Linked DNA regions of Rattus norvegicus. Each later gene encodes a partner of the first gene's protein in a complex. Links are inferred from orthologs where the notes say so. Each region holds a gene or a part of one and is shown in the gene's direction. Other genes may lie near its edges.

Evidence for each region.
Region 2: Smarce1 (region 1) and Smarcc1 share a complex: the UniProt entries of both Homo sapiens proteins name them as parts of the BAF complex. The link is inferred for Rattus norvegicus from reciprocal best matches to the Homo sapiens genes SMARCE1 and SMARCC1.
Region 3: Smarce1 (region 1) and Smarcd1 share a complex: the UniProt entries of both Homo sapiens proteins name them as parts of the BAF complex. The link is inferred for Rattus norvegicus from reciprocal best matches to the Homo sapiens genes SMARCE1 and SMARCD1.
Region 4: Smarce1 (region 1) and Phf10 share a complex: the UniProt entries of both Homo sapiens proteins name them as parts of the neural progenitors-specific chromatin remodeling complex. The link is inferred for Rattus norvegicus from reciprocal best matches to the Homo sapiens genes SMARCE1 and PHF10.
Region 5: Smarce1 (region 1) and Actb share a complex: the UniProt entries of both Homo sapiens proteins name them as parts of the BAF complex. The link is inferred for Rattus norvegicus from reciprocal best matches to the Homo sapiens genes SMARCE1 and ACTB.
Region 6: Smarce1 (region 1) and Smarcc2 share a complex: the UniProt entries of both Homo sapiens proteins name them as parts of the BAF complex. The link is inferred for Rattus norvegicus from reciprocal best matches to the Homo sapiens genes SMARCE1 and SMARCC2.
Region 7: Smarce1 (region 1) and Dpf1 share a complex: the UniProt entries of both Homo sapiens proteins name them as parts of the neuron-specific chromatin remodeling complex. The link is inferred for Rattus norvegicus from reciprocal best matches to the Homo sapiens genes SMARCE1 and DPF1.

What each region holds. Positions count from the first base shown.
Region 1 is NC_086028.1:84,654,968-84,659,173, reverse strand, and holds the end of Smarce1 (SWI/SNF-related matrix-associated actin-dependent regulator of chromatin subfamily E member 1), read left to right. Parts: coding exon 1-168; intron 169-2,551; coding exon 2,552-2,760; 3' UTR 2,761-3,706; downstream 3,707-4,206. UniProt on the Homo sapiens protein: Involved in transcriptional activation and repression of select genes by chromatin remodeling (alteration of DNA-nucleosome topology).
Region 2 is NC_086026.1:119,048,556-119,052,055, forward strand, and holds part of Smarcc1 (SWI/SNF complex subunit SMARCC1), read left to right. Parts: intron 1-1,343; coding exon 1,344-1,602; intron 1,603-2,873; coding exon 2,874-3,035; intron 3,036-3,500. UniProt on the Homo sapiens protein: Involved in transcriptional activation and repression of select genes by chromatin remodeling (alteration of DNA-nucleosome topology).
Region 3 is NC_086025.1:132,707,396-132,711,426, forward strand, and holds the start of Smarcd1 (SWI/SNF-related matrix-associated actin-dependent regulator of chromatin subfamily D member 1), read left to right. Parts: upstream 1-1,231; 5' UTR 1,232-1,236; coding exon 1,237-1,413; intron 1,414-1,463; exon of another isoform or gene 1,464-1,638; intron 1,639-2,050; coding exon 2,051-2,238; intron 2,239-2,529; coding exon 2,530-2,572; intron 2,573-2,670; coding exon 2,671-2,793; intron 2,794-3,228; coding exon 3,229-3,351; intron 3,352-4,031. UniProt on the Homo sapiens protein: Involved in transcriptional activation and repression of select genes by chromatin remodeling (alteration of DNA-nucleosome topology).
Region 4 is NC_086019.1:64,635,259-64,638,758, reverse strand, and holds part of Phf10 (PHD finger protein 10), read left to right. Parts: intron 1-1,452; coding exon 1,453-1,583; intron 1,584-2,303; coding exon 2,304-2,387; intron 2,388-3,242; coding exon 3,243-3,376; intron 3,377-3,471; coding exon 3,472-3,500. UniProt on the Homo sapiens protein: Involved in transcription activity regulation by chromatin remodeling. Belongs to the neural progenitors-specific chromatin remodeling complex (npBAF complex) and is required for the proliferation of neural progenitors.
Region 5 is NC_086030.1:16,775,326-16,779,463, forward strand, and holds the start of Actb (actin, cytoplasmic 1), read left to right. Parts: upstream 1-1,338; 5' UTR 1,339-1,410; intron 1,411-2,350; 5' UTR 2,351-2,356; coding exon 2,357-2,479; intron 2,480-2,566; coding exon 2,567-2,806; intron 2,807-3,272; coding exon 3,273-3,711; intron 3,712-3,801; coding exon 3,802-3,983; intron 3,984-4,107; coding exon 4,108-4,138. UniProt on the Homo sapiens protein: Actin is a highly conserved protein that polymerizes to produce filaments that form cross-linked networks in the cytoplasm of cells.
Region 6 is NC_086025.1:1,476,503-1,480,002, forward strand, and holds part of Smarcc2 (SWI/SNF related, matrix associated, actin dependent regulator of chromatin, subfamily c, member 2), read left to right. Parts: intron 1-2,687; coding exon 2,688-2,747; intron 2,748-2,878; coding exon 2,879-2,916; intron 2,917-3,129; coding exon 3,130-3,260; intron 3,261-3,387; coding exon 3,388-3,459; intron 3,460-3,500. UniProt on the Homo sapiens protein: Involved in transcriptional activation and repression of select genes by chromatin remodeling (alteration of DNA-nucleosome topology).
Region 7 is NC_086019.1:93,736,842-93,740,341, forward strand, and holds part of Dpf1 (zinc finger protein neuro-d4), read left to right. Parts: intron 1-290; coding exon 291-418; intron 419-580; coding exon of another isoform or gene 581-634; coding exon 635-724; intron 725-1,970; coding exon 1,971-2,049; intron 2,050-2,201; coding exon 2,202-2,333; intron 2,334-3,211; coding exon 3,212-3,262; intron 3,263-3,355; coding exon 3,356-3,475; intron 3,476-3,500. UniProt on the Homo sapiens protein: May have an important role in developing neurons by participating in regulation of cell survival, possibly as a neurospecific transcription factor. Belongs to the neuron-specific chromatin remodeling complex (nBAF complex).

The sequences.
Region 1 (4,206 bases):
CAGAGATCGCACAGGCGGAGGAGCAGGCCCGCAAAAGGCAGGAGGAGAGGGAGAAGGAGGCAGCCGAGCAAGCTGAGCGCAGCCAGGGCAGCATCGCCCCCGAGGAAGAGCAAGTGGCGAACAAAGCCGAGGAGAAGAAGGATGAGGAGAACATCCCGATGGAGACAGGTAACCGCCTCCCCAACCCAGGAAGTGTGAGGGCCCTGACAGCCGGCATTCTGCCATTCCCTGTCTCTCTCAGAGCAGCATGGTGGCATCAGTCTTGCCGTGTGAGCTCTTGGTAGTACTCAAGTGGGGGTGGCTCTGGAGACGGGCGTGCAGGGCCCTGTCTGTTTGCCCATTGCTGACACTGACTTTGCTGAGCTTTCTCTCATCTCCTCATTTGAACAGCTACTTGCTGCTGGATTTGACATAGGATTAATAGGCAATAATACTTTAACCTTTATGGCTACTATTTACATAAGATGTGTCATGGGCCCGAGATTTGTCTTAGTCCTTAGATGGCAAAGTTTGACTAGAAGATGGCCAGACTCACTTGTTGTGAGTCACACTACATGTGACAGCTTTGAGGTGACATGAGAGAGTGTGTGTGTGTGTGTGTGTGCGTGTGGGTGTGGGTGTGCGTGTGTGTGGGTGTAGTTTGGGACTTGAAACAGACTTCCTGGCCAACAGCCTTTAGTGATGACCGTCTAAGCCTTACATGTTGGTGCCAACCGACCTCAGCCTACTGTGCTTTTTTTTTTTTTAAGATGTATTTATTGTATTCATATGAGTACACTGTAGCTGTCTTAGACACACCAGAAGAGGGCATCAGATCCCATTACAGATGGTTGTGAGCCACCATGTGGTTGCTGGGAATTGAACTCAGGTCCTCTGGAAGAGCAGTCAGGGTTCTCAACCACTGGGCCGTCTCTCCAGCCGGAACAATGCTTTTTGATGTTTTGGTTTTCCTGAATAAAGGCATTCCTCATGGTTTGGATTTTTTTTTTTTTTTTTTAAAGAAAAGAAAGGTAAAACTTAGATCAAATACTGATGAACTTGGTTGTTCTTGAAGTTTTCGAGATCACCTTGCCTCTCAGCACGATTGACCCTGCCTAGTGGATAAACAGGAGTAAGCCAAAAGTAGTCAGGGGACACTAGCACTTGCTGGGAAAAGGGACATGGGCATACTCTGTACTCAACAGTAATTCCTGGCAGTGTTTAAGGAAACGTCAGTATCTCTGCCAGGCATTTACACAGTATTTAACTCAGTGGGTTTCCTTTCCAGACAGGCTGGTTTTAGTCTTCATTGTCTGGGCCTCTTTCTGGTTTTGTGAACCCGGTTTTGGTTTTTGGTTTTGTTTTGTTATTTTTTTACCATAAATTGGGCGAACCAGAGTGTGGTTCTTTGCTCATCTTGCAACCAAACCATGTCTTCAGTCTTGAGTCTGTTTTGCCCCAAATGAGGTTTGTCTCCCTCTGACGGCGTCTGGGTGTCTGGGATGTTTACTGAGATGTCTGTCTGCTAGCTTAAGGAAAGAAAACGGAGGGAGAACTGAAGGGAAAAAATTAAAGATATTAGAACCTTGTGTTCAGTTTCCTAAAGGAAGTGGCCAGCACCACTTTAAACAGAGCATCTGCTTCTTTCTGTGCCTTCATTTTGTGTATTTCAGGCAGGATCTTGCTCTACTGTGTTGTCTAGGCTGGCCTCAGACTCCGGAGTGCAATCTTCTGGTGCCACCACCTCTGGCTTCTGGCTTCCTTTTAATGTTACATTTAAACCAAGTCTCCAAAAAAATATTTACATGTTATAAGATTTTAAAAATTAATACTCTAGGCTAGACAGAAAGCTTAGTAGACGGACCTGAGCGCATATGGGAAAAGCAGGTTACATCCTCAGGATCCAGTACAGGAGCTAGAGATCAGCAGATTCCTAGGGCTCATTGCCTGCCAACCTGGCCTACCTGGTTACTCCCAGGTCAGTGAGAGATCCTAAAGTGGACAGTTCTTGAGGAACAGAACACTTGTGGTTCTCCTCTGACATGCGCACACATACAAGACTCTCGCTGTCTTACATTCTTTTATTGTATCAAATCTTTGAAATCTAGCATGTATTTTATATACTTCTTTTTTATTTATTTTTATTTTATTTACATTAGTGACTTGACTTCATGTATGTCTGTGTGAGGGTATCAATCCAGATCCCCTGGAACAGGAGTTACAGATAGTTGTGAGCTGCCATATGGGTGCTGGAAACTGAACCCCAGGTCCTCTATGGAAGAGCACCCAGTGCTTTTAACCTTTGAACCGTCTCTCCAGCCCCTCTCCCAAAAGCTCAATTCTCACCACAAAAGTGTTTGATATGTATTTAAATTTCTTAATACTGTAGGTAAAAATGTAGATTTTCGCACCCTGAGTTGTCTCAGATATTCATGAATATTCCTGAGTCACAAGACTGGCTCATTTCACTGCTTGCCACGTGTGCCTAGTGGCGGTCAGACTGGACAGGTCATTTAATGCCGTCAGCAGAGTTAGAGTGAACGGAACTGATGGTGCAAATGTGTGGTTACAGAGGAGACACACCTTGAAGACACTGCGGAGAACCAGCAGAATGGTGAAGAAGGCACATCTACTCCTGAGGACAAGGAGAGTGGGCAGGAGGGGGTTGACAGCATGGAGGTGGAAGGGACCAGTGACAGTAACACCGGCTCAGAGAGCAACAGCGCAACGGTGGAGGAGCCGCCCACGGACCCTGTGCCAGAAGACGAGAAGAAGGAATAAATGTTGCCTTGTTTTATGTGACCTAAAACTTTTTTTAAATGAAAAAAAAAATGTGTTTTTTTTGGTTTTAATGGTGTTATGTGGTCTGTGTATTATTTCCATTGATACCGTGAAGGTCTTCAATAGCATAGCCTAATGCCATCTGCTCACCTTTCTTAGCTCTCAACTTCTGAAACCTCAGAACTGAGATCAGTCGAGAGACCCATCTCTTTGAGAACCACTTGGATGCTGCAGAATCTGCTCTTCCAAATGCCTTCCTTCAGCTCACTTGGGTGCTCATCAAAGCCATAGCTTTAACCCCTCCCAGACCAACTACAGCTCTCCGAGTCCCCTGTCGTGTGTATTTATACAGAGTGCCCTCTTTATCTCTGATATCAGACACCAGGCATCCTCTTACAGGGTAGGGTGTAGCCTGAAACCAGCGAAACACAGATGAGACTGTGCAGAGATGGCCCTGGAGGGGCCGGGGGAGTAGTTACTGCTGTGGATTCTCATTAGGTGAGCCCTGCACGTGCATATCCATATCTGTGCAGTTATTATGGGATGTGTTCTGGGAAATTCATCCTTATTGTACAGGGGGAAAAGAAATGTGTTTTTACCAGATTGGTTTTCCAAAGACATGATAGACAGCAGAGCCTAAGGAATGGGATATTCTTATAATGGACTGCAGACTTCAAAGTGATTGGCCTATTGCAAAAGGAAAACAGGAACTACGTTCATCCACTTGAGCATACTTCATAGTGATGAAAACCTCAAGGCTCGAGATCCCATAGATCAGAGCCGAACCTACTTTTTTGATAAGCCCTTTAGTGGTGTTAGAGACTAGATATGAGATAGTTTGTAGTGCGTGCTCTCTGATATCTAGAATAGATTTTTACTGAATAGTGGTATATATGATGTTATATGTTTCTTAAAGGCCCAAACATAATAAAGAAATTAAGACAAAGGTCTCAGTGTTTTTATTGCACTGTAAAAAATCGACATAATTTGGTCCCTATGATACCAGGACATCATGGAATGACCCACAATCATGAAATGTCTGTCACTCATAGGAAGCTTGCCTCACGAACTGTCAGTATTAACAGGACTGTGAAGGAATCTGTTTGGTGTGGCTAACGAGTGAATATAGCCTGTGCTCATGGGGGAACCGTACCTGCACTCCCCACTTAGTGACTTACACAGCAACAAGCAATTTCCTGAGAGGAAGCTTGATGTGTGGGGTCATCCTTAGGCCAGTTTTTCCGTGGTTCTGCCCTTCCTTGAAAATCAAACAATTTTTTTTTTCAAGACAGGATTTCTCAGTGTAGCCCTGACTATCCTGGCAAAAAAACTTATCTGTGAACAGGTCTGTTTGGGGTTTTGAGCATGGAGAGCTAAAAATTCAAAAAATGTCTCATCTTAAATAAATTGGATAACCACAGATAAAATCCTCTGGAAGGTGAGATG
Region 2 (3,500 bases), on another chromosome or scaffold:
CAGGAAATCATGCCACCAGAGAGAAGTAACAGTAGCAAGCCCTAAAAGGTTGACAAGTTATTTCATTTGTTATATTTTCTTACTATTTATTTTATGTATTTAATCATATAGATTCAGGTTTTCGTTTTTGTTTTGAAGGTTTTTACGACTTTTTACCAAAACTCTAATAAATTTTATGACTCATTCTATTCTGTCCTGTCAATCTTTTACTGCTAGCCTCAATTTTTATTAAAAATCCATTGTCTTGTAGACCTTAGTGTGTTTGTATGGGTAGATGATGATGTGTATGTGGAAGGCAGGGCAACATTGGAGTCTGTTCTCTTCTAACATCTTGTGGGTTACTAAACAGTGACTTCGTCTCTCAGCCTTCTCACTTGCCCCTTTTTATTGTTTGTGTCTCTTTCTTTCCTCCCTTTCTTTCTGTCTGTCTTTCTGCCCATCTTTTCATTCTCTCACGTTGATTTTCTTTGTATCATGTTGGTCTTACACATAATTTACTCAAATTTTTATTTCATTTTAATAATGTTACAAATATTTTTCCACTTTAAAATTGTTCATTGCGGGCTGGAGAGATGGCTCAGTGGTTAAGAACACTGACTGCTCTTCCAGAGGTCCTGAGTTCAATTCCCAGCAACCACATGGTGGCTCACAACCATCTGTAATGAGATCTGATGTCCTCCTCTTGTGTGTCTGACACCTACAGTGAACTCAAAAATAAAATAAATCTTTTTTAAAAAAGTTATTCATTGCTATGAGAGGAATATAAGCATTGTTCTTGCTTTCTCTTACGCTTTTAGCCCATCTGATATTGTCGTGGTAATCTTCAGCCACCATCTCAGAGTAGATTCTTTGAAAGTTTTCATGTAAAGAGTAGTGATCCAGTTTAAACGAATATTGTAATGTTCAGGTATTTCATTATTGTTTTGTTGCCTGATTGACAACTTATTATAAGGGTCACTGCCAGATTACCTTTTACCTTAATGTAGAAATAATTATTTATATTACTAGTTTGAAATAGGATCTTGTCCACTCTGTTATCTTCAAATCTTGTCTCAGTTTACAGACAGTTGGGGTTGAAGGGCATGCGCCACCATAACTACTAGATCACTACCCAAATTTTTTTAGAATTCTGTCTGCAGAATCTTAGCAAGGTTGGGTTTGCATGCCTAGCACTCTTGAGCCTGTGAACCAGGGTTAGTAGAAGTTGAAGACCAGCCTGTATCACATAGTGAGATCCTGTCACACAGAAGGGGGAAAAAGGGCACTGGCTTCATTTTTCTTCCCTTCTATTTTCCTTCCTTGTTATTTGATGCTATCACCCTTTTGTTTCTGTGTTCACTTAGGCTCTGGAGATGTACAAGGATGATTGGAATAAAGTCTCGGAACATGTTGGAAGCCGTACTCAGGATGAATGCATCCTCCACTTTTTGAGGCTTCCCATTGAGGACCCATACCTTGAAAATTCAGATGCTTCTCTTGGGCCACTAGCTTACCAGCCTGTCCCTTTCAGCCAGTCAGGAAACCCCGTGATGAGTACTGTTGCCTTTTTAGCATCCGTGGTTGACCCTCGAGTAGCATCAGCTGCAGCCAAAGCAGCTTTGGGTATGTACTTCCTGTGAAAGCTACCTCTCCAGCACTAAAGTCTGACTTTATATTCAAATATGATTAGCCATGAACTTAACATTTGCCTCAGTTATATAAAGTGTATGCTGTGCAAGCATGAGGGCCTGAGTCAGATCTCCAAAGCCTGTGTAAAAGCTAGAAGCTCTAGTATATGCTTATAGCATCTATACTGGGAGACAGAATAGATGGTCTCACAAGTCATCCTGACAGGGATAGTAACTCAGAGATAAGGTGGAGGGAGAACTGATAGAATCTTTGTTGATGTCAACTGGATTAAACCAGCAGACTTAAACCCAGGCACAAGCTCACCCCCACACATACATACAAATGCTTTTAAGAATATCAGCTGTGTTAATACACATTTCTCTCTTATAAGTCACACAACAAAAACTAAAGATAATGTGCTTCATCAAAATGTAGAAAATAATTTGTAAGGACTTTGTTTTTCTTTCACTTTTAAAAATCTATTTTGTGTGTGTGAGAGAGGGAGGGGAGGGGGAGAGGGATGGAGGGAGGGAGAGAGGGAAAGAGAGAGAGGGAAGATCACTTACCATGATATATCTCTGAAGGTCAGGATTAGCAGTGCAAGGGTGAGCTTTGTCCTACTACGTGTGCCTCATGAATTGAATTGTCAGCCTGGCCACAAATGTCCATTCTGGCTGAGCCATGTTGCTGGCCCATAGAATATTTGTGGATTTAGAAGAACAGCTAGATAATTTGGCATAACCTGTGAAATTGCAGCTTTTTAGAGGAAGAGACAAAAGAATCAGGAGTTTAAAGTTCAGCGTGGACTATTGTGGATCTTGTCTCAACCAACATACATGTACATACACACTCGTGTATAAAGGAAAGTAAGTGTTTTATGACATTAGGATATTGGTAGAGATATAGCATGGAAGCTACTTAATTTATTTTCAATAACTTAATTTCACCCAGGCATCTTTTATATTGTAGGATTTACATTTTTAAGGTTGTTTGATCCTTGCTGTTTTTATAGTTACCAGTCTTGCCAGCAGAGTGGTGAAATCAGGACTGAAATTTTACTTGTTTCTAATAGATTTTTAAACAACTTTTCAAAGTATAATAAAGAAGGCACTATTATGTTTTGGATAATAACCTAGGGAAGTGATTGGATTGATTCATTTTATATTTTCCCTAGTGTGCTCACTGTATAAACTGATGTTACTTTGTCACACTAGGATCAAATATCTATGCAAAATTAAGATATTGTCTTTGTGATCTTGACTCAGAGGAGTTTTCTCGTGTCCGAGAAGAAGTACCCCTGGAATTGGTGGAAGCGCATGTCAAGAAAGTACAGGAAGCTGCAAGAGCCTCTGGGAAGGTGGATCCTACCTACGGCCTGGAGAGCAGCTGCATTGCAGGCACCGGGCCCGATGAGCCGGAGAAGCTTGGTGCGTCACTAATGAGTACAGCATTCGCTTTAGAGATGCTTATATTCCTGTCAGTGTGCAAAATCACGGGCTTTGCTTACACACAAGCAATCAAAACAATATAATGTGCCTCTACATTTTATTATATATATTTTTCTCACATTCTTGTGAGGTGGACAAGGGGGACGTGGTACAGAGAAAGCAAGAGCTAAAAACAGTGCCTGATAACCAAACAGTATCAGTTCCTCAGTATGTATGGGTGTGAGTGTGAGTGTGTGTGCCATAGGTGTAGTATGTATGGGTGTATGTGTGTGAGTGTGTGTGCCATAGGTGTAGTATGTATGGGTGTGTGTGTGTGAGAGAGAGAGAGTATGTGTGTGTGAGTGTGTGCGTGCCATAGGTATAGTATGAATGGGTGTGTGAGTGTGTGTGTGCCATAGGTATAGTATGTATGGGTGTGTGAGTGTGTGTGTGTGTGTGTGTGTG
Region 3 (4,031 bases), on another chromosome or scaffold:
TCTGTTTGTTGTTTGTTTTGTGTTGAGACAGGGTTTCTCTGTGTAGCCTCGGCTGTCCTGGAACAGCTCTGTAAACCAGGCTGGCCTCGAACTCACAGAGATCCTCCTACCTCCCAAACGCTAGGATTAAAGGTATGAGCTGCCAGCACCCTGCACTCTGGGTGTTAACCTTTAGATCGGAGCTTGCCTTGAGGGCCACACAACTAAAGAAATTTGGGTGGTAGTCTGGTGTGGTGGTTCCACCTCTAATTCCAGCGCATAGGAGATGGAGCAGCTGTTTTCCATCACACAGTGAGTTTAACGCTAGACCAGGCTATTCGAGACCCTACATACTTGATCAGGTAAAAACACTGATCCACCTGGAAAAGAACAAATTCAGGAATCCTCTGTTCCCTAGGCAGTGGACCAGCAAAGTAATCTAAAGCAACAGATATCCGGGTCTCTTTGGAGAAGATTCAAGGTAAAAGAATTCATTAAAATCTGAAGTTAAAGGTCTGAGGTGAAGGGCTAAGTTCCCGTGCCGGGGAGCTGTTAAGCCATTATTTATTTATTTATTTATTTATTTATTTATTTTTTTTTTTTTTTTTTGGAGCTGGGGACCGAACCCAGGGCCTTGCGCTTCCTAGGCAAGCGCTCTACCACTGAGCTAAATCCCCAACCCCTTAAGCCATTATTTATAAGATGAGGCCCTGGCTACCAGCCAGGAGACCCGAATCCAGGATGGCTTTTCTCTTATCTCGATTTGTCTTTGCCACGACATTCACCTCCTTTGAGTTCAGCTTTTCCGTTTGTAAAACGAACAAACAGCCTGTTTCCCTCTTTAGCATCCGGAGTCTGATCCGTAGGAAAACAAAAAGCAAACCAACCAGAATGCTTTGGAGAGGTAAACGCACTGGGCCGAGGTGAAGCATCACTCCAGCCGCCTGCGGGGTGGGCTGGGCTCTTTGCAAGGCCTTGACGTCCTCCAACCGCCCGGGGGCGCTCGCTCCCGGCACTTCTTTATCAGCACACCGCCTCTCTATGGTGCTCCCTCCTGGCCCGTGAAGGCGGGAGGGAGTGGTCAGCACGCCTTTCCCGCTAGTCGCCCCCTCTAGCCCGTAGTCTCGCTGCCCCGAGCCGCCCGTGCCCGCCGGCGGGCCGGGCCCACAAACAGCCCAGGCGCTCGGGGGGCGCGCGGGGGGCGGGGGGAGTTCCGGTTCCGGTTCTTTGTGCAGCTGCAGCGGCGGCTCCGGGAAGATGGCGGCCCGGGCGGGTTTCCAGTCCGTGGCTCCGAGCGGCGGCGCGGGAGCCTCAGGAGGAGCGGGCGTGGCGGCTGCTCTGGGCCCGGGCGGAACTCCCGGGCCTCCCGTGCGAATGGGCCCGGCGCCGGGTCAAGGGCTGTACCGCTCTCCGATGCCCGGGGCGGCCTATCCGGTGAGTGGGACAGGAGGAGGGGCGCGCGGGCCGGGGGCGGGGCCGAGCGAGGGCGGAGGACTGACAGGGGTGAGGGAGAAGTGGGAGGGACTCCCTAGGGAGGGGCTCGGGCCGGGAGTGGAGGTGGGGGAAACTGAGCGGAGGAAGAGTGGGGGGAAGGAGGTTAGCATCCTTACCTGCTCCCAGCGGCATTGTTTCCGTGTGAGGAGCGAGTGTGGAACCAGGGTGGGTGAAGTGGGCCCTGGGATGGGCATGGGATGCAGAGGGGAATGGGCAGCCCCAGTGTCTCCAGGAACACCCAAGCTATTGCAGCAAATTGAGGTCAGCCTTAGAGGAGACAGCAGCTAGTTTAAAAAAAGAAAAAAGTAGGACTAGAAATGTCTGATGAGTCAGATCCAGCATAGATCAGAAAATTCAAGTATAATCTAGTTTTTAGACTATATTCCATTAAATCACTAGTAGGCCTGAAGAAGCTCCAGTTACCATATTTCAAAGAAGCAAAGGATTGTCTTGTCCTCCACTCTACCCACCCCCCAGCCCTACCCCATCCCTGAAATCCAGCCTTCCACCACTTTTCCTTCCTTGGTGGGGCTAGCATGGAAAAATATGACATCTCTTGGTCCTCTCCCTTCTGTAGAGACCAGGTATGCTGCCAGGCAGCCGAATGACACCTCAGGGACCTTCCATGGGACCTCCTGGCTATGGGGGGAACCCTTCAGTCCGACCTGGCCTGGCCCAGTCAGGGATGGACCAATCCCGCAAGAGACCTGCACCTCAACAGATCCAGCAGGTCCAGCAGCAGGCGGTCCAAAATCGAAATCACAAGTAAGATGCCCCCTGGGGTGAAGGAAAGACGGGGATGGGAGGAGGCCTGTGAGGATGCTGATGCTGGGAGTCCCCAGGAAGTCAGGCGCTGCAGTATCAAATGGTGCTGCAGGGACTCACCCTTTTGAAGGCTCTCTGGCCTCGTGATGAAGTGGAGTTTTTGTGGTACTGGGAGATGGAGAGTCATCCCGTAGGCCGTAGTAGCTGTACCATAAATGGAGGTGCTCACAGCGATGCTCATGTTTTGACTAGTTCCTATCCCAACCTGATAACAGTATTTATTCTGAACAGTGCAAAGAAAAAGAAGATGGCTGACAAAATCCTACCTCAGAGGGTGAGTGCAGCAGCTGTAGAGGCCTTCCTGAAGGGGTAGTGGCTTTGAGAATAGAGGTGGTCAGCTCTAGGGCCTGACCCTATCTTTCTGTTCCTAAGATTCGGGAATTGGTACCGGAATCACAGGCCTACATGGATCTCCTGGCTTTTGAAAGGAAACTGGACCAGACTATTATGAGGAAACGCCTGGATATCCAGGAGGCCTTGAAGCGGCCCATCAAGGTACCAGGAGAGTACCAGAGGGTCACAGGAGGGAGCCAGGACGCTCCACCAAGCTTAGGAAGAAAACCCAAAGGCACAGCACATCTCTCTTTGGCATTTAAACTGCATCTTTCCCTTCTGCCTGCAAACCAGGAATTACATCAGGAGCATAGGAGTGGGGCGGCTGGCAAGGAGAGGGGGGGCTTCCCACTCTCTTCAGCAGAAACACACCCTGTCCTTGTTTTTGCTCCTCGCTACCTTGGGAACCTGCCACTTTGCACGACTTTGTCTCCCTGGCACCCTGGCACATTTACTCAGGCCCAAGTCAGGGCCTGTTTGCTCCTCAGTGGAGTCCTTATCCATCTACAAAGCCAGCCTGGTAGGAGTGACCTGGGAGCTTTAGGGAACCTTGTGCTCTTGAAGCCCCACGGTCAATCCTGTTTCTGCCTTCCTCAGCAAAAACGGAAGCTGCGGATTTTCATTTCTAACACATTCAATCCGGCTAAGTCGGATGCCGAGGACGGGGAAGGGACTGTGGCTTCCTGGGAGCTCCGGGTAGAAGGACGGCTCCTGGAGGATGTGAGTTCAGGGTCCATGGTGGTTGGTGCTCAGGGTGGGAGCTGTTGGGAAGGAGCAGTGCTGTGTGGTCAGCAGGAAACCTGACTGGTGTTCACCACTCCTGCTGGGAGCTTCCGGAAGGGGGTTGGGGGTGCTGTGTTCCCTGCCTACAAAGACAATGGTCCTTTGTGCCTACTCTCACAGCTTCTCTGGTATCAAGTGGAAACCTTTGTTGCTCTGGGGTCTGGGTTGTTGTTTACTTTGCCTGGTGATGCTGCCCTTCGGATTTCAGTGCTCACTTATCCCCACCACCATCTGTGCTTAGTGTTTGAGCCCATGTTTCCTCCCTTAGGTCCTTGAGGTTATTTCTGTCTTCCCAGGTTTCATTGGAGGCACCACAGTTTAAGTACGATAGCCCCCCCAAAGGCTTGGCTCTTTGTTGCTCATCAGACTAATGAGCACCCCAGACTCTCCACCCAGCAGCTCATTGGGGAGGCTCGCCGTTCCCTCAGAGCTCTGCACTCTGACACTTTTAAACTGTGTGCAAGTGAGCTCGTCTGATGCACTTTTGCTGGGGAACCGAGCTGCCTCTGGGTAGGTCCAGGCTATTTGCTGGTCATGTGTTCTGTCCAGAGAAAGGCAGGTTTTGTTCCCCTGCCTCTGGCCTGGGATTCATTTGCCCTCTGCTGTCAGGCTTTCCT
Region 4 (3,500 bases), on another chromosome or scaffold:
TGTATACACTGGCTAGTGGTGTTTGTTGAATATTTTTTAGGTGTATTTTGACAATTTGACTTATATTTTTGGAGAAATGTCTGTTTACTTCTCTGTCCACTTCTCCACCCCTGCCCGTTTTCGCTTTTGTTTTTTGAGACAGGGTCTTCCTATGTCCCTCTGGCTAGCCTAGAACTCACTATGTAGATAGGCTGGCTCACAGCGCTAGGACGGAAGGCCTACACCGCTATGCCCAGCTGTCCATTTCTCTTCTTGACGTACTCTGCATAGGAATTTCTTTATCTGGCTTTTTTCCCTATAGTTGATAGTGTCACTTTTTTTTTTTTTAATTTTCATGCCCGTAACTTTTGTTTTGGGTATTAAGTGTAAGAGTTGGTTTTTAACTTAGAGTTTTCTAGGCAGCTCTTACATACATTTAGGATTTTGATTCATTCTGAGCTACTTTTTGCATGCGATGTGATGGGAGGTGAGGTTCCTTTCTGTGGCTTTGTATGTGTCTGTTCTTTGCTAGCACCAACCAGGTTTGGCTGTTTCATGAGCTAGTTTTTTTTTTTTTTCCCCCGGAGCTGAGGACCGAACCCAGGGCCTTGCACTTGCTAGGCAAGCACTCTACCACTGAGCTAAATCCCCAACCCCGATGAGCTAGTTTTAAATGAATAAATGCTACAAACCACTGTCCCACTCCTGCGTCTGATTTATGTTACGTGATCCAGATTGACCCGTTCATTACAGTCTTTACTGTTGAGGATTGCAGTTGGGTGCAGTACACAACTTCCAAATAGATCTGCTCTTTACTTCAGGTTTGTAGAGTATAAAGACATAAAATTACAGCTTATTGTCCAGTTCACTGACAAAGTGGTCCTTGGAATGTCTGCTTTTCTAGTTGTGTGTGACTTACTGAGCAATACATAAGGATCGGAAGTTGTCTGTTATATCTGGGATGTATGACGTAATTGTAGTGACTTTTAAATAAAACTACTTGAGTGTTGCTTCCTTGCTTTGCTTTCTTAGATCTAGTAGGGTTTAACTTTACGTGTGTGCCCACGTGGGTATGGCGGCTCGCCGAGGCCAGAAGATCATAGTAGGTTCTGAGCTGGAGTCATGGTGGTTGTGAGCTGCCTGATGTGGTGCTGGGAAGCAAATACTCATCCTCTGCAAGCGTCAGTCATAAGCGCTCCTAACCACTGAGATCTCTCCAGCCTTAGGTTCTTTGCATGTACAGAAACTGCCATGTATATGTTTGCATGTGAAGAAATTTAGTGGACTTTTTTATGTGACATTTTGGATCATTAAATTTCTTCCTTTTACCCATTTTGTAATTTTTTCTATAATTACAGCAGTAATAAAAAGAATTGCAATTCTTAAAATTGTTTTGAAAATAATTTGGAATATAAATATGATTGACGTTTAATAAATGCCACATATAAGGCATAATGTGTGTTTGCATCTTAGCTTCAGTTACTACCCAGCAGAAAACTTAATAGAATACAAATGGCCACCTGATGAAACAGGAGAATACTACATGCTTCAGGAGCAAGTCAGTGAATATCTGGGTGTGACCTCCTTCAAGCGGAAATATCCAGGTACTTACGGCTTAGTGTATTAATGGATGACATCATACTTACCACAGAGACTTGGTTATGAGTTATTTTTCTTCTGCTTATGAAGCAAGTGCACTTGCTGATTTAATTTGTGATGAGCACTCAGTATCCTACTGTGGAGGTAGCATGCTTCTTCTGTATGTCACCAAGTTCTTTAGGGACAGAATAAGATTATAGGTGTGTAACATCCTACTGACTTCTTGAGGATAAGTTTGAAAAGAAAAATCACTTTATAGCCAGTGTTTTTAATCGAAACTGTTGCTCTGTGGCCTCAGAAATAGAGATAGCATCTAAGCCGAGCTTGAATTGTCGGAAGCCATTCATGATGAGCTGCCCTAATATAGAAAATGGTTAACTTCGGATTGTTCTAGTTTTTAGTTTTCTGATGTTTATTTCTTGAATTTGTAAGATGTGTGTGTGTGTGTGTGTGTGTGTGTGTGTGTGTGTGTGTAGTTACCTAATAATACTTAGAAAATTTAGCAACAAATGTGTTTAAATAGTTGTTTTCCTAAGTTTTTAAAAGTTTTAAGATGTATAGTTTTAGTTTTTTTTTTTTTGTTTGTTTGTTTTTTGGTTCTTTTTTTTGGAGCTGGGGACCGAACCCAGGGCCTTGTGCTTCCTAGGTAAGCGCTCTGCCACTGAGCTAAATCCCCAGCCCCAATAGTTTTAGTTTTTAACAGTCCTTTTGTTCTGCTTTTGGAGATTTAGAGCGACGAGATTTATCTCACAAGGAGAAACTGTACCTGAGAGAATTAAACGTCATCACGGAAACACAGTGCACACTAGGTAACTAGCACCTATCCTGTCTATTAAATGAACATTTGTAGGTGGTAGATAATTAGATAAATGACACATCTCCTAAAATAGTTTACAAAATTAATAAATTATTTAAATAATAAGTTGTTTACTTATTTTTAATTGTTAAAATGTAAAGGCATGATATAATTTTTTTATACTACAATATAATTTTCTATTGATAACTTTAACAGAGTTGTCAAAATGTTTGTGTTTTGGGAGTAGAATTTATATCTAAGTAGAGAGCTTTATCTGTACTACTGGGGATTGAACCCATAGATTCTTATTTTTGGCAAATCTTGTCAAACTTTTAAGTTCCTTATAGCATCTGCTTTATTGATAATTTATCTTTGGTGAGTGCATCAATGTCAACGGGCACTTCCCAGTATAAATTCATCACAGCAGTAGGGAAATCTGATACTGATGCTGTAAAAGTTACGTGGTGTGTGTAGACTGGCGAATGTTTTAAGATGTGAATTGATAGTATTTCTGATATATAAATTTGGAGACTTAGAAATATATATTGAGAAATACTTTTTACATATCCTGTCTTAATTATTAGTGGCTACTATATACCATTCATAATTATTTCTAAGTATATTCTTACGATTTATATAAAATAGAAAGGCTCAAATCATTTGATTTGATTTAATTTTTGTTTTACAAGATAACGTTTAGTTTTGATTGCTTGACTTTATTGGGAAGAATTAACTTATATTTTACAATGTATTAATTTTGCTTTGATTACAGTAAGACAGTAAAAAAAAAGCTAGTTTTGAAAAAGCACTGTGTTCGCTTGGCCTTAAGATATTTTCTTTACTTTCTTTTGGGGGGGGTCTAAAATAGGTTTAACAGCATTGCGCAGTGATGAAGTGATTGACTTAATGATAAAAGAATATCCAGCTAAACACGCTGAATATTCTGTTATTCTACAAGAAAAGGAACGTCAGAGAATTACAGATCATTATAAAGAGTATTCTGTAAGTGATTTGAGGTGACTGATGTCTGTCTTAGGGGGCGGGAAAACTTTTTATAAAACTATATCTGACTTCTAACTGTACTATTTTCCTTTCAGCAAATGCAGCAACAGAGTACTCAGAAAGT
Region 5 (4,138 bases), on another chromosome or scaffold:
CCTCCTCATGCACAGCCACTGTAGCCCATATATGGATGAAGCCTTCCTTGGTTTCAACACCTACACTTTGTGAGCCAGTGCACACCTACTATGCATGTGTAAAGCCATGGCAGGTCCAGAGCATCCCACCTGAAGCATTCTCCTTGCCTAAATATAGCTTTCTGTCACTCTCTCCCAGGAGTTGTGCGTCCTTCTAAGCTAAGCTGAGGGACCCGACCCTCAACTCTGATCCCCTGCTGTAGCTATCAGCCAAATGGCTAGCTTCCTGAGCAGAACTCTCCTACTTAGGTGAGGAGAGCAGGGGGTTCTTCTCTCTGGAGGATTTGGGGCTCTGGTGACCACCAGCACTTCCCTGAGTAGTTTGTCACTCCCAGAGTCCCCGTGGCCAGCAGATGAACAGTTCAGTGTACAGTTCAGCTGTGGCTGCACATAATACATAGAGGCTAGATGGTGGGCTCCAGCCCAACGATGCCTGGCAGTCACCCAGAGCCACTAGCTAACGGCCCAGGCTTAGTCTTGCCTGGGTGTGATCAGGCAGCCCTCCAAAAGTGCCGGACTCCATGAGAAGTTTTGCTTGTTCGATTGAGCACAGTTCCTTTCTAGGTCCGGGGCAGAGGATATCTGGAGGCATCTTCCTGCAACAAACACCTCCAGTCACTGGACCACCGGGGCTTGCCCTATCCTTGGGACTCTGGCCTTGAGTGGTCAAGATCCCTGAAGACCTTCCCAACCACAGCTCTGCTTCCAAGTTGTACCCCAACACACCTAGCAAATTAGAACTGCAGCAGAAGGCCCCCAGATCTGGCTTTCCTGACTATTGCTAGCAAGGGGGAGTGACTCTCTGCCCATTCAATCCAGACCCCGTGTGTCCCTCAAACAAAAGGCCACTCAAATAGGGTCCGGGCCTTCAAGCTGACCCTCGCCCACTTAGGTGATCATTATTCCCGTGACATCCACACCCAGAGGGTCCTGGGGTGGGTGGGTGACCCCCAGAATACAGGCCTAGTAACCGAGTCACTGAATGGGATAGTGTCCACAAGGGCGGGGGCTATTCTTGTCCATCTGGGCCTACGGAACCAGCACCCATCGCCAAACTCTTCATCCTCTTCCTCAATCTCGCTTTCTCTCTCGCTCGCTTTTTTTTCTTCTTTTTTTTTTTTTTTTTTTTTTTTTGCAAAAGGAGGGGAGAGGGGGTAAAAAAATGCTGCACTGTGCGGCGAGGCCGGTGAGTGAGCGACGCGGAGCCAATCAGCGCCCGCCGTTCCGAAAGTTGCCTTTTATGGCTCGAGTGGCCGCTGTGGCGTCCTATAAAACCCGGCGGCGCAACGCGCAGCCACTGTCGAGTCCGCGTCCACCCGCGAGTACAACCTTCTTGCAGCTCCTCCGTCGCCGGTCCACACCCGCCACCAGGTAAGCAGGGACGTCGGGCCCAGCGGGCCCCAACTTTACCTTGGCCACTACCTCGCTGCAGGATCGTGAGGAACACTCAGAAGGGACACCGTAGAGGGGTGGAGCGTGGTACCGGGCCGCGGAGCGGACACTGGCAAAGCTTAACTTTCCGCCTAGGGTGTAGAGTGTTTGCAGTCGTATTCCCGCGGTGTAGACACTCGTGGGCACGCTCCTGCTTGGTGCGCGGGGCTTGGGGACACACTAGAGTCGCGGTGTGGGCATTTGGAGAGCCGGTGCGGCTTGCGGGTGTTAAGCCGCATCTGTCCACCTTGAGGGGACACAGTATTGGGAGTCAGGCGTTACAATCACGCTTTGATGGCCTATGGGTCTTTGTCCAAACCGGTTTTGCCCATTCGGCTTGGCGGGCGCGGCGGGGCCGGCTCGGCCGGGTGGGGGCTGGGATGCCATTGCGCGTGCGCGCTCTATCACTGGGCATTGGGGCGCGTGCGCGCTGGGGAGGGAACTCTTCCTCTCCCCCTCTTCCGAGTTAAGAGTTGCGCGTGCGTATTGAGACTAGGAGCGCGGCCGCCCCGGGTTGGGCGAGGGCGGGGCCGTTGCCCGGAAGGGGCGGGGTCGTAGCGGCTAGGGCGCCTGCTCGCGCTTCCTGCTGGGTGTGGTCGCCTCCCGCGCGCGCACTAGCCGCCCGTCGCCTCAGTGTAGGCGGGGCCTGTGCCCGTTTGGGGAGGGGGCGGAGGCCTGGCTTCCTGCCGTGGGTCCGCCTCCGGGCCAGCGTTTGCCTTTTATGGTAATAATGCGGCTGTCCTGCGCTTCCTTTGTCCCCTGAGCTTGGGCGCGCGCCCCCTGGCGGCTCGAGGCCGCGGCTTGCCGGAAGTGGGCAGGGCGGCAGCGGCTGCTCTTGGCGGCTCCGCGGTGACCATAGCCCTCTTTTGTGCCTTGATAGTTCGCCATGGATGACGATATCGCTGCGCTCGTCGTCGACAACGGCTCCGGCATGTGCAAGGCCGGCTTCGCGGGCGACGATGCTCCCCGGGCCGTCTTCCCCTCCATCGTGGGCCGCCCTAGGCACCAGGTAAGTGACCCTTTACTTTGGGAGTGGCAGCCCTAGGGTTTTCTTGGGGGTCGATGCCAGTGCTGAGAACGTTGTTCTCCTCCGCAGGGTGTGATGGTGGGTATGGGTCAGAAGGACTCCTACGTGGGCGACGAGGCCCAGAGCAAGAGAGGCATCCTGACCCTGAAGTACCCCATTGAACACGGCATTGTCACCAACTGGGACGATATGGAGAAGATTTGGCACCACACTTTCTACAATGAGCTGCGTGTGGCCCCTGAGGAGCACCCTGTGCTGCTCACCGAGGCCCCTCTGAACCCTAAGGCCAACCGTGAAAAGATGACCCAGGTCAGTATCCTGGGTGACCCCTCCCCTCTATTGGGCCAACTTCTCAGCCACGCCCTTTCTCAATTGTCTTTCTTCTGCCATTCTCCCATAGGACTCTCTTCTATGAGCTGAGTCTCCCTTGGAACTTTGCAGTTTCTGCTCTTTCCCAGATGAGGTCTTTTTTTTCTCTCGATCGCCTTTCTGACTAGGTGTTTTAAACCCCTACAGTGCTGTGGGTGTAGGTACTAACAATGGCTCGTGTGACAAAGCTAATGAGGCTGGTGATAAATGGCCTTGGAGTGTGTATTCAGTAGATGCACAGTAGGTCTAAATGGAGCCCCTGTCCTGATACTCCCAGCACACTTAACTTAGCTGTGTTCTTGCCCTCTTTGCATGTCTCACTCAAATCTATCCTTACAGTCTCACCTGCCCTGAGTGTTTCTTGTGGCTTTAGGAGCTTGACAATACTGTATTCCTTTCTCTACAGATCATGTTTGAGACCTTCAACACCCCAGCCATGTACGTAGCCATCCAGGCTGTGTTGTCCCTGTATGCCTCTGGTCGTACCACTGGCATTGTGATGGACTCCGGAGACGGGGTCACCCACACTGTGCCCATCTATGAGGGTTACGCGCTCCCTCATGCCATCCTGCGTCTGGACCTGGCTGGCCGGGACCTGACAGACTACCTCATGAAGATCCTGACCGAGCGTGGCTACAGCTTCACCACCACAGCTGAGAGGGAAATCGTGCGTGACATTAAAGAGAAGCTGTGCTATGTTGCCCTAGACTTCGAGCAAGAGATGGCCACTGCCGCATCCTCTTCCTCCCTGGAGAAGAGCTATGAGCTGCCTGACGGTCAGGTCATCACTATCGGCAATGAGCGGTTCCGATGCCCCGAGGCTCTCTTCCAGCCTTCCTTCCTGGGTAAGTTGTAGTCTCATCCCTTCTCCATCTAAAGGTGACCAATGCTGGAGGCCACACTGTAAGTCTGATCTCTCTTGCTTTTCCTTTCAGGTATGGAATCCTGTGGCATCCATGAAACTACATTCAATTCCATCATGAAGTGTGACGTTGACATCCGTAAAGACCTCTATGCCAACACAGTGCTGTCTGGTGGCACCACCATGTACCCAGGCATTGCTGACAGGATGCAGAAGGAGATTACTGCCCTGGCTCCTAGCACCATGAAGATCAAGGTAAGCAGCCTTAGCCTGGACCCATAGTGGGGTGTGGTCAGCCCTGTAGTTGTAGCCAACTCTCTTGGCTTAAGGAACAACCCAGCATCCAGAATGCTCACAATCACTGTCTTGCTTTCTTCAGATCATTGCTCCTCCTGAGCGCAAGTACTCTG
Region 6 (3,500 bases), on another chromosome or scaffold:
TAAATTATACTGCCAAAACCTCACTTTAGGACCATTTTAAAACATATGCAAGGGCTGGAGGGATGGCTCAATGGTTAAGAGCACTGATTGCTGGTAGAGCACTTGCCTAGCAAGCGCAAGGCCCTGGGTTCGGTCCCCAGCTCCGAAAAAAAAAAAAAAAAAAAAAAAGAGCACTGATTGCTCTTCCAGAGGCCCTGAGTTCAGTTCCCAGCAACCACATGGTGGCTCACAACCATCTATCATGGGATCTGATGGCCTCTTCTGGTGAGTCTGAGGACAGCTACAGTGTAGTCATGTACATAAAATAAATAAATAAATCTTTAAAAAATGCAAACATTATGATTAAAAAAGGGAGTGGGGTGGGGACTAGACTGCTGGCTCAGTGGTTAGGAGCAATGGCTGCTTTTTCAGGTTTGCTTTCCAGTTCCACACAGTGGTTCACAACCGCCTAATTCCAGGACCCTTGCACCCAGCACCCTCTTTTGGCTTCTGCAGGCACTGCATGCAGATGGTGTACAAGCATACATTCTGACAAACACTCACACACAGAGAAATAACTCAAAAAAAATCAAAAAATAAAAATCTACCACGGTGGTAGCACACACCTTTTAACCCAGCACTTGGTGGGCAGAGGCAGGCAGATCTGAGTTCAGGGCCACCCTGTCTACATAGCAAATCCCAGAACAACCAGGACTGCACAGAGAAACCCTGAATCAAAAAAGAAAGAAAAAAAAAGGAAAAGAAAATGAAACTGTAAAAATGTTAAGACGACATTTTAAACAGAGCTGGGAGTCTGGAGAGGTGGCTGAGCAATCAGAGTGCTTGCTGTCCCCAGAGAGCCCTCTAGCTCCAGAGGACCTGGATCTGGTCCCCTCTTTTAGGCTCAGAATCTCCTCTGGACGGCAGGCACTGTTTGCTGACTGTGAGTCTGTCCAGTATGAGGAGTGCTCTTGAGGGGACTGCACTACAGTACTGGTTTGTAGTCTGTCCCCTGTCCGCCAGCCTCACATATCAAGAGATGTATGTGAGTGGGGTTGGGAAGCTGTTTTCTCCTGAGCATTGTGTATGAAATTAAGGGAGAAAAGTCTCCTCTGCTTTACAGCATTGAAAATTAGGCTAGGGGTGCAGCTTACAGTGAACACTGCCTAGCAGGTGTAGAGTCCTGCATTCTGTCCCCCAGCCTTTCAGACAGTTTTAAATCTTCTTTAAATATTTAGGCTAGACATGGTGACACATGATTTTAAATCCCAGCACTTAGAAGGCAGAGGCAGGAAGAACTCTGTAAGCTATTAGAGGCTAGTCTGGTCTACATCACAAGTTCCAGGACAGCCAGGTTCCATACAGAGACCTTGTATTCAACAATTAATTAATTAAGATCTGACTGGAAATGGTGGTAAACACCTTTAATCCCAGTACCCAGAAAGCAGAGGCAGGTGAATCTCTGTGAATGTAAGGCCAGCCTGGTCTACATAGTGAGTTTCAAGACAGCTGTTGATTGCTACATAGTGAGACTTTGTCTCAAGAAAACCCAAAACAACAATATTATTAATTAAGATCTACTCATTTAAGTAGGCCTGGTGTCATAGTATAGGCTATAATCTCAGTGATTGCATGACTGAGGCAGGAGGATGTAAATAGTACAGAATCTGCCTGGGCTTCAGAATGACTCCTGAGGCCGGTAGCATAACTCACAATAAGAAGGAAAGCCAAGTGTGCTGCCTCACACCTGCCGTCTGACTGCTGGCCCGGCCCTCGGCAGGCTGGCTGCTTCAGTCTGTGTCTCTTCTTCTTAAAAGATACTAAGTAAAGAAGTAAATAAGGGGGTGGGCATTCAGCTCAGTGGTAGAGCACTTGCCTAGCAAGCGCAAGGCCCTGGGTTCGGTCACCAGCTCCAAAAAAAAAAAAAAAAAAAAAGTAAATAAATTTTAGTTATGGATGTATTTCATGTAAAATGATGTTTATCTGCCTGTAAGATTTGTTAGCATTGGATTCCATGAAACTACACTTACAGATGGTTGTGAGCCACCATATGGTTGCTGTGAATTGAACTCAGGACCTCTGGAAGAACAGCCAGTGCTTTTAACCTCTCAACCTTCTCTCTAGCTTGAGACTGTTTGAAAAAGGCAAAACCAAAATAAAGAGTTTAGGAAGGGAAGACCAGAAGAAAGTGCTGGGAGCCTGGCTTGGTGGGGTACTCACCTGTAAGCTCAGCAGCTCTCAGGAGCAGGTGCAGAGAGCCAGGCCGCTCTTCGTAAGTTAAGAGGCCTGGAACACATGAGACCCCCAAGCCCCAAAAGAAGGCTTGGTGCTGGGACTGTGACTCTGGTAGACACTTAGACGTATGTGCGTGAGGCCTGGGTTCAGTTGCCAGGAGTAACCAAGGGCTGGTATCTGACTACTTACCTGGTATGAGCTCATCCTTCAATTAGAAGACTGTACAGGGAAACAGATAGGGGACAGAGCAGCCAGAAAAGAATGGCCCTTAGGATGCTGAGGCTGGGGAGTCATGGAACTGCACACACAGATGAGAAAGCTAAAGGAAGCCATTGGTTGCATAAGGCAGTAAAATAGAAAACATGTTTGAAAGTTTTTTTGAGAAAGCAAGATATGTGAAACTATTAACAGCTGAGAAGTGAGAGCTTGATTTTGGCCAACATGTCTAATGCAGTGGCTTTTTCTCCCGACAGTCAACACTAAAAAGGACTCCGAGTCAGCACCAGTCAAAGGCGGCACCATGACTGACCTGGGTGAGACAGGGAGGGAGACCTTAGCAGGCAGTGCCTGAGGCATGGAGCGCTCAGCCTACCTTCCCCCAGCCCTCTGCCTTTGCTGACCCTGTGCTCCTTCCTGCCTGACACTCGGCTTCTTCCCTTTCCAGATGAACAGGACGACGAAAGCATGGAGACCACGGGCAAGGTGCAGCTGGTTTAGACAGGCTGTCTCTGTGTGTCTCTGTGATGTGTTTACAGGGCTCCACCTCTCCTTCTGCCCAGCCTCCCCACCCCCGGCCTAGGTGCCCATCCTCATCTCCCTCCCCGCTTCGGTGGCATCCTGTTCCTGGCTACCGGAGGAGCTGAGGGTTGCTAGGGGATGGGAATGCTGAGTATCCAGCAGCCTCCATACTTCTAGGATGAGGACGAGAACAGCACCGGCAACAAAGGGGAGCAGACCAAGAGCGCGGACCTGCACGAGGACAACGTGACAGAGCAGACACACCACATCATCGTCCCCAGCTATGCTGCCTGGTTTGACTACAACAGGTGCTACCCTACGCACCCTCCTCCTCCCCTTGCTGATCAGTGGGCTGTTTCTCCTGTTGCCCCACAGCCAAGAGCTGCTAACTACCCACCCCTGGGGCCTTGTGAACCATTGTGATTTATCCTGCAGTGTCCATGCCATTGAGCGGAGGGCTCTTCCTGAGTTCTTCAACGGCAAGAACAAGTCCAAGACTCCAGAGATGTAAGATTTCAGTTTATGATTTTCTTTTCTTAATCTTTTTT
Region 7 (3,500 bases), on another chromosome or scaffold:
CACTGTGCAGGTGTTTATGAGGGTCTGCTATTGTTCCTGAGGGTTTCTGGTGTATGCGGGTCTCGCCCTGTCTTCTTTATCTAGTAGAGCTGAGGGCATGGCTGTGTCTCCCCAGGGTATGGGCATTCTTTCCAGGGCCCGAGTTGAATCCTTATGTCCATTGTTGGTTGAGCGTGGGAGAGGCTGCCCCTGCTACAAGGACCACGCTCCCACCCCCACCTGCCTGCAACCTGGGCACTTTGACCACAGCCTCTTCAACTGATACCCCTTTCCCTGTGGACTGTCCCCAGATTGTGAGGCACCTCTGAAGAAGGAGGGTGGCCTCCCGGAAGGGCCAGTCCTTGAGGCTCTGCTGTGCGCTGAGACTGGAGAGAAGAAAGTGGAGTTGAAGGAGGAGGAGACCATTATGGACTGTCAGGTAGGAGCCCCCTCCCTGGCTGCAGGTGCGCTGTCACCACTATGCCTTCCTGCTCTGAGATGCCCGGCTCCACAGGGCCTTTGGGGACCCTACAGCCCCATTCTCCCAGAACACCTCTGCTTGTAGAAGGCTCCCTGACTTGCTCTCCCACCCCACCTGCAGCACATCAGTGCCCCCACCTTCTTGACCCCCCAATCTCCCTTCTACTGGGCCCAGAAACAGCAGTTGCTGGAGTTTCCGCATGATCTCGAGGTAGAAGACTTGGAGGAAGACATTCCCAGGAGGAAGAACAGGGCCAAAGGAAAGGTATCTTCCAGAAGCTTCTCCCTCCCACCTCCTCCCCAGAGCTATGTGAAGGAGTAGAGGGTTTTGCACCCATTCTTATGGGTGAGGAAATGGAAACTCAGTGGATTATAACAATTTCAAAATTGGAGCTTGTGGATCAGAACTGTCTTGCAGACCTGGGTGTGGCAGCCCACACTTGTAATCCCAGTACCTGGGAGGCTGAGGCAGGAGAATTGCTCCAAGTTTGGGAGAAGTGAATCCCAGGCTATTCTGAACTCCATAAAGAGACCATGTGCAAAAAGAAAAAAAAAATCCTAAACCAAACCAGCCACCCAGACAACAACAGCAACACACACACAAACACACACACAAACATGTATGCACACATACGAACACGTACAAACACGTATGCATAACCACATGTGGATATACACACATACAAACACATGGACAAATATACACTCCACATACACACATAAACACACATATACATGCACACCACACACACAAGTGCACCTGCATATACGAACATATACACACATATACCATGCATATACACCACATATACAGACACATATGCAAATACACATTTACTACATGCACACAATCAAACATACACACACACAACACACACATACACACATACACACACACCCTCCATTATGAGCAGTAAAAAAGTGTTAGAACACACCTTTAATTCCAACACTGGAGAGGCTGAGGCAAGAGGACCTCTGTGAGTTCAAGGCCAACCTGATCTGTATAGCGAGTTCTCGGACAGCAAGGACTGTGTGGAGAGACTCTGTCTCAAAACAACACCAAAAAGAACTATCTAATAGGTGTACTGCGAGAAGTTCAAAGGCTCACAGCTAGAAAATGTGCCTGGTTTTAATGGGGAGACTTCATTATTGCTGTGTGGCTCTGCGATGGCACCCAGAGTCTCATACTCCCATGACACCTGCTCTGTCACTGAGCCACACCCCTAGTACTAAGAAAATTTTAACTTTTTTCTTCAGTTTGAATTTTCAAGTCTAAATGAAGAAACCCACTAAGGCATGGTAGCACATACCCGTAACCCAGAGGCAGGAGGATCACTGCATGTTTAAGGCCAGTCTGATCGACAGAGTGAATTCCAGGTCAGGCAGGGCTACACCATGAGACTCTGTCTAAAGCAACGACAGCAACGACAAGGACAAACTCAAAAGCCCCAGGAATGATGAGCCTTTCCCTGGTTTCCTGGCTTCCTTACTCCTAACCCTCCTCCCTACAGGCGTATGGCATTGGAGGTCTCCGGAAACGCCAGGACAACGCATCCTTGGAGGACCGAGACAAGCCGTACGTCTGTGATAGTGAGTTCTGCCGAGGGGAAAGAGAGAGGGGGTGTGGGACCCAGGGACTCTCCCTTTTGGCCCTTGGCAGAGCAGGGGGGTGTGATCCTGGAGACCCGGGGTGGAGGAGGTGGCCCTGGAGTCTGACAACCACCTGCTCACTTCCCCTCCAGTCTGTGGGAAGAGGTATAAGAACCGGCCAGGGCTTAGCTACCACTACACCCACACCCACCTGGCTGAGGAGGAGGGGGAGGAGCACACTGAGCGCCACGCCCTGCCTTTCCACCGGAAAAACAACCATAAACGTGAGTTGTGAGTTGGAGGGTCAAGGCTGGTGGGTGAGGTGCGAGGGGTGGGGCGGGGGCGGTGGAGACTGGTAGTGTCTGGGGAGGTGGAGGCACAGTTAGACATTTCTGGAAAAAATCTTCACGGTTCCCTCCCCCACCAATCATAGGGATGCTGGCTCTAGGGTTGCCATGACAACCAACCCCCTCTCTCTCTCTCTCTCTCTCTCTCTCTCTCTCTCTGTCTCTCTCTCTCTCTCTCTCTCTCTCTCTCTCTCTCTGTCTCTCTCACTCTTTCACTCACTCCCTTCCCGGGTTTATTTCTGGGTCTGATTTATTGTTTCAATTAGAACCTGGAGTGGGGTGGTAGATGATCCCCTCTCTTCCTAGACCTCCCTTGTCTCCTCTGCTATGCTAGGGTCCAGGGGCAAGGTCCCCAGGGTCCTTGATACCCACTCATGGCTGTTCCATGCCATGACAACTGAACCATGGGGGGAGGGGGCCTAGCTCACCTGTCCCTCAAAGACAGCTTCTACAAATCCACAGGCCTGACCCAGAACCTTCTGTGCTATAACAATGTCCTCCTGATTAGGCGTTGCAGAACTGCGGGCTAAGCGTTGGCCTAGGCAAGCTTACCTGGGGGGTGCAAACACACGATGGTGGCAGCAGCCATGGGTTCTTGCTAAGGTTATGTCTATCCTCACACTTTTACCCAAATAGAGAAAACATACCCAAATAGAATCCTAAGAGTTAGGGTTCTGGTGAGCATTCCTTGTCCCTCCCCCAGCTTTCTTGCTACTTCCCAGTGCCTGGGCCAAGGGTCCGCCCCTGGGGCTGAGGCTGGGGACAGATGGGACCTTGCCTATGGTAAGAGCCCCTTTCTGTCCCCCTACCCCCAGAGTTTTACAAAGAATTGGCCTGGGTCCCCGAGGCACAGAGGAAACACACAGGTAGGGGCACCTCCCTCCTCCCCGACTTCTGCAGTAGTCTTTGACTGGCACGCCTCACCTGTCCTGTGCCCACCGCTGCCTGCTGTCTTTCAGCCAAGAAAGCACCAGATGGCACTGTCATCCCCAATGGCTACTGTGACTTTTGCCTGGGGGGCTCCAAGAAGACTGGATGTCCTGAGGACCTCATCTCCTGTGCGGACTGCGGGCGATCAGGTGAAACTCACTACGTATTTCTGGA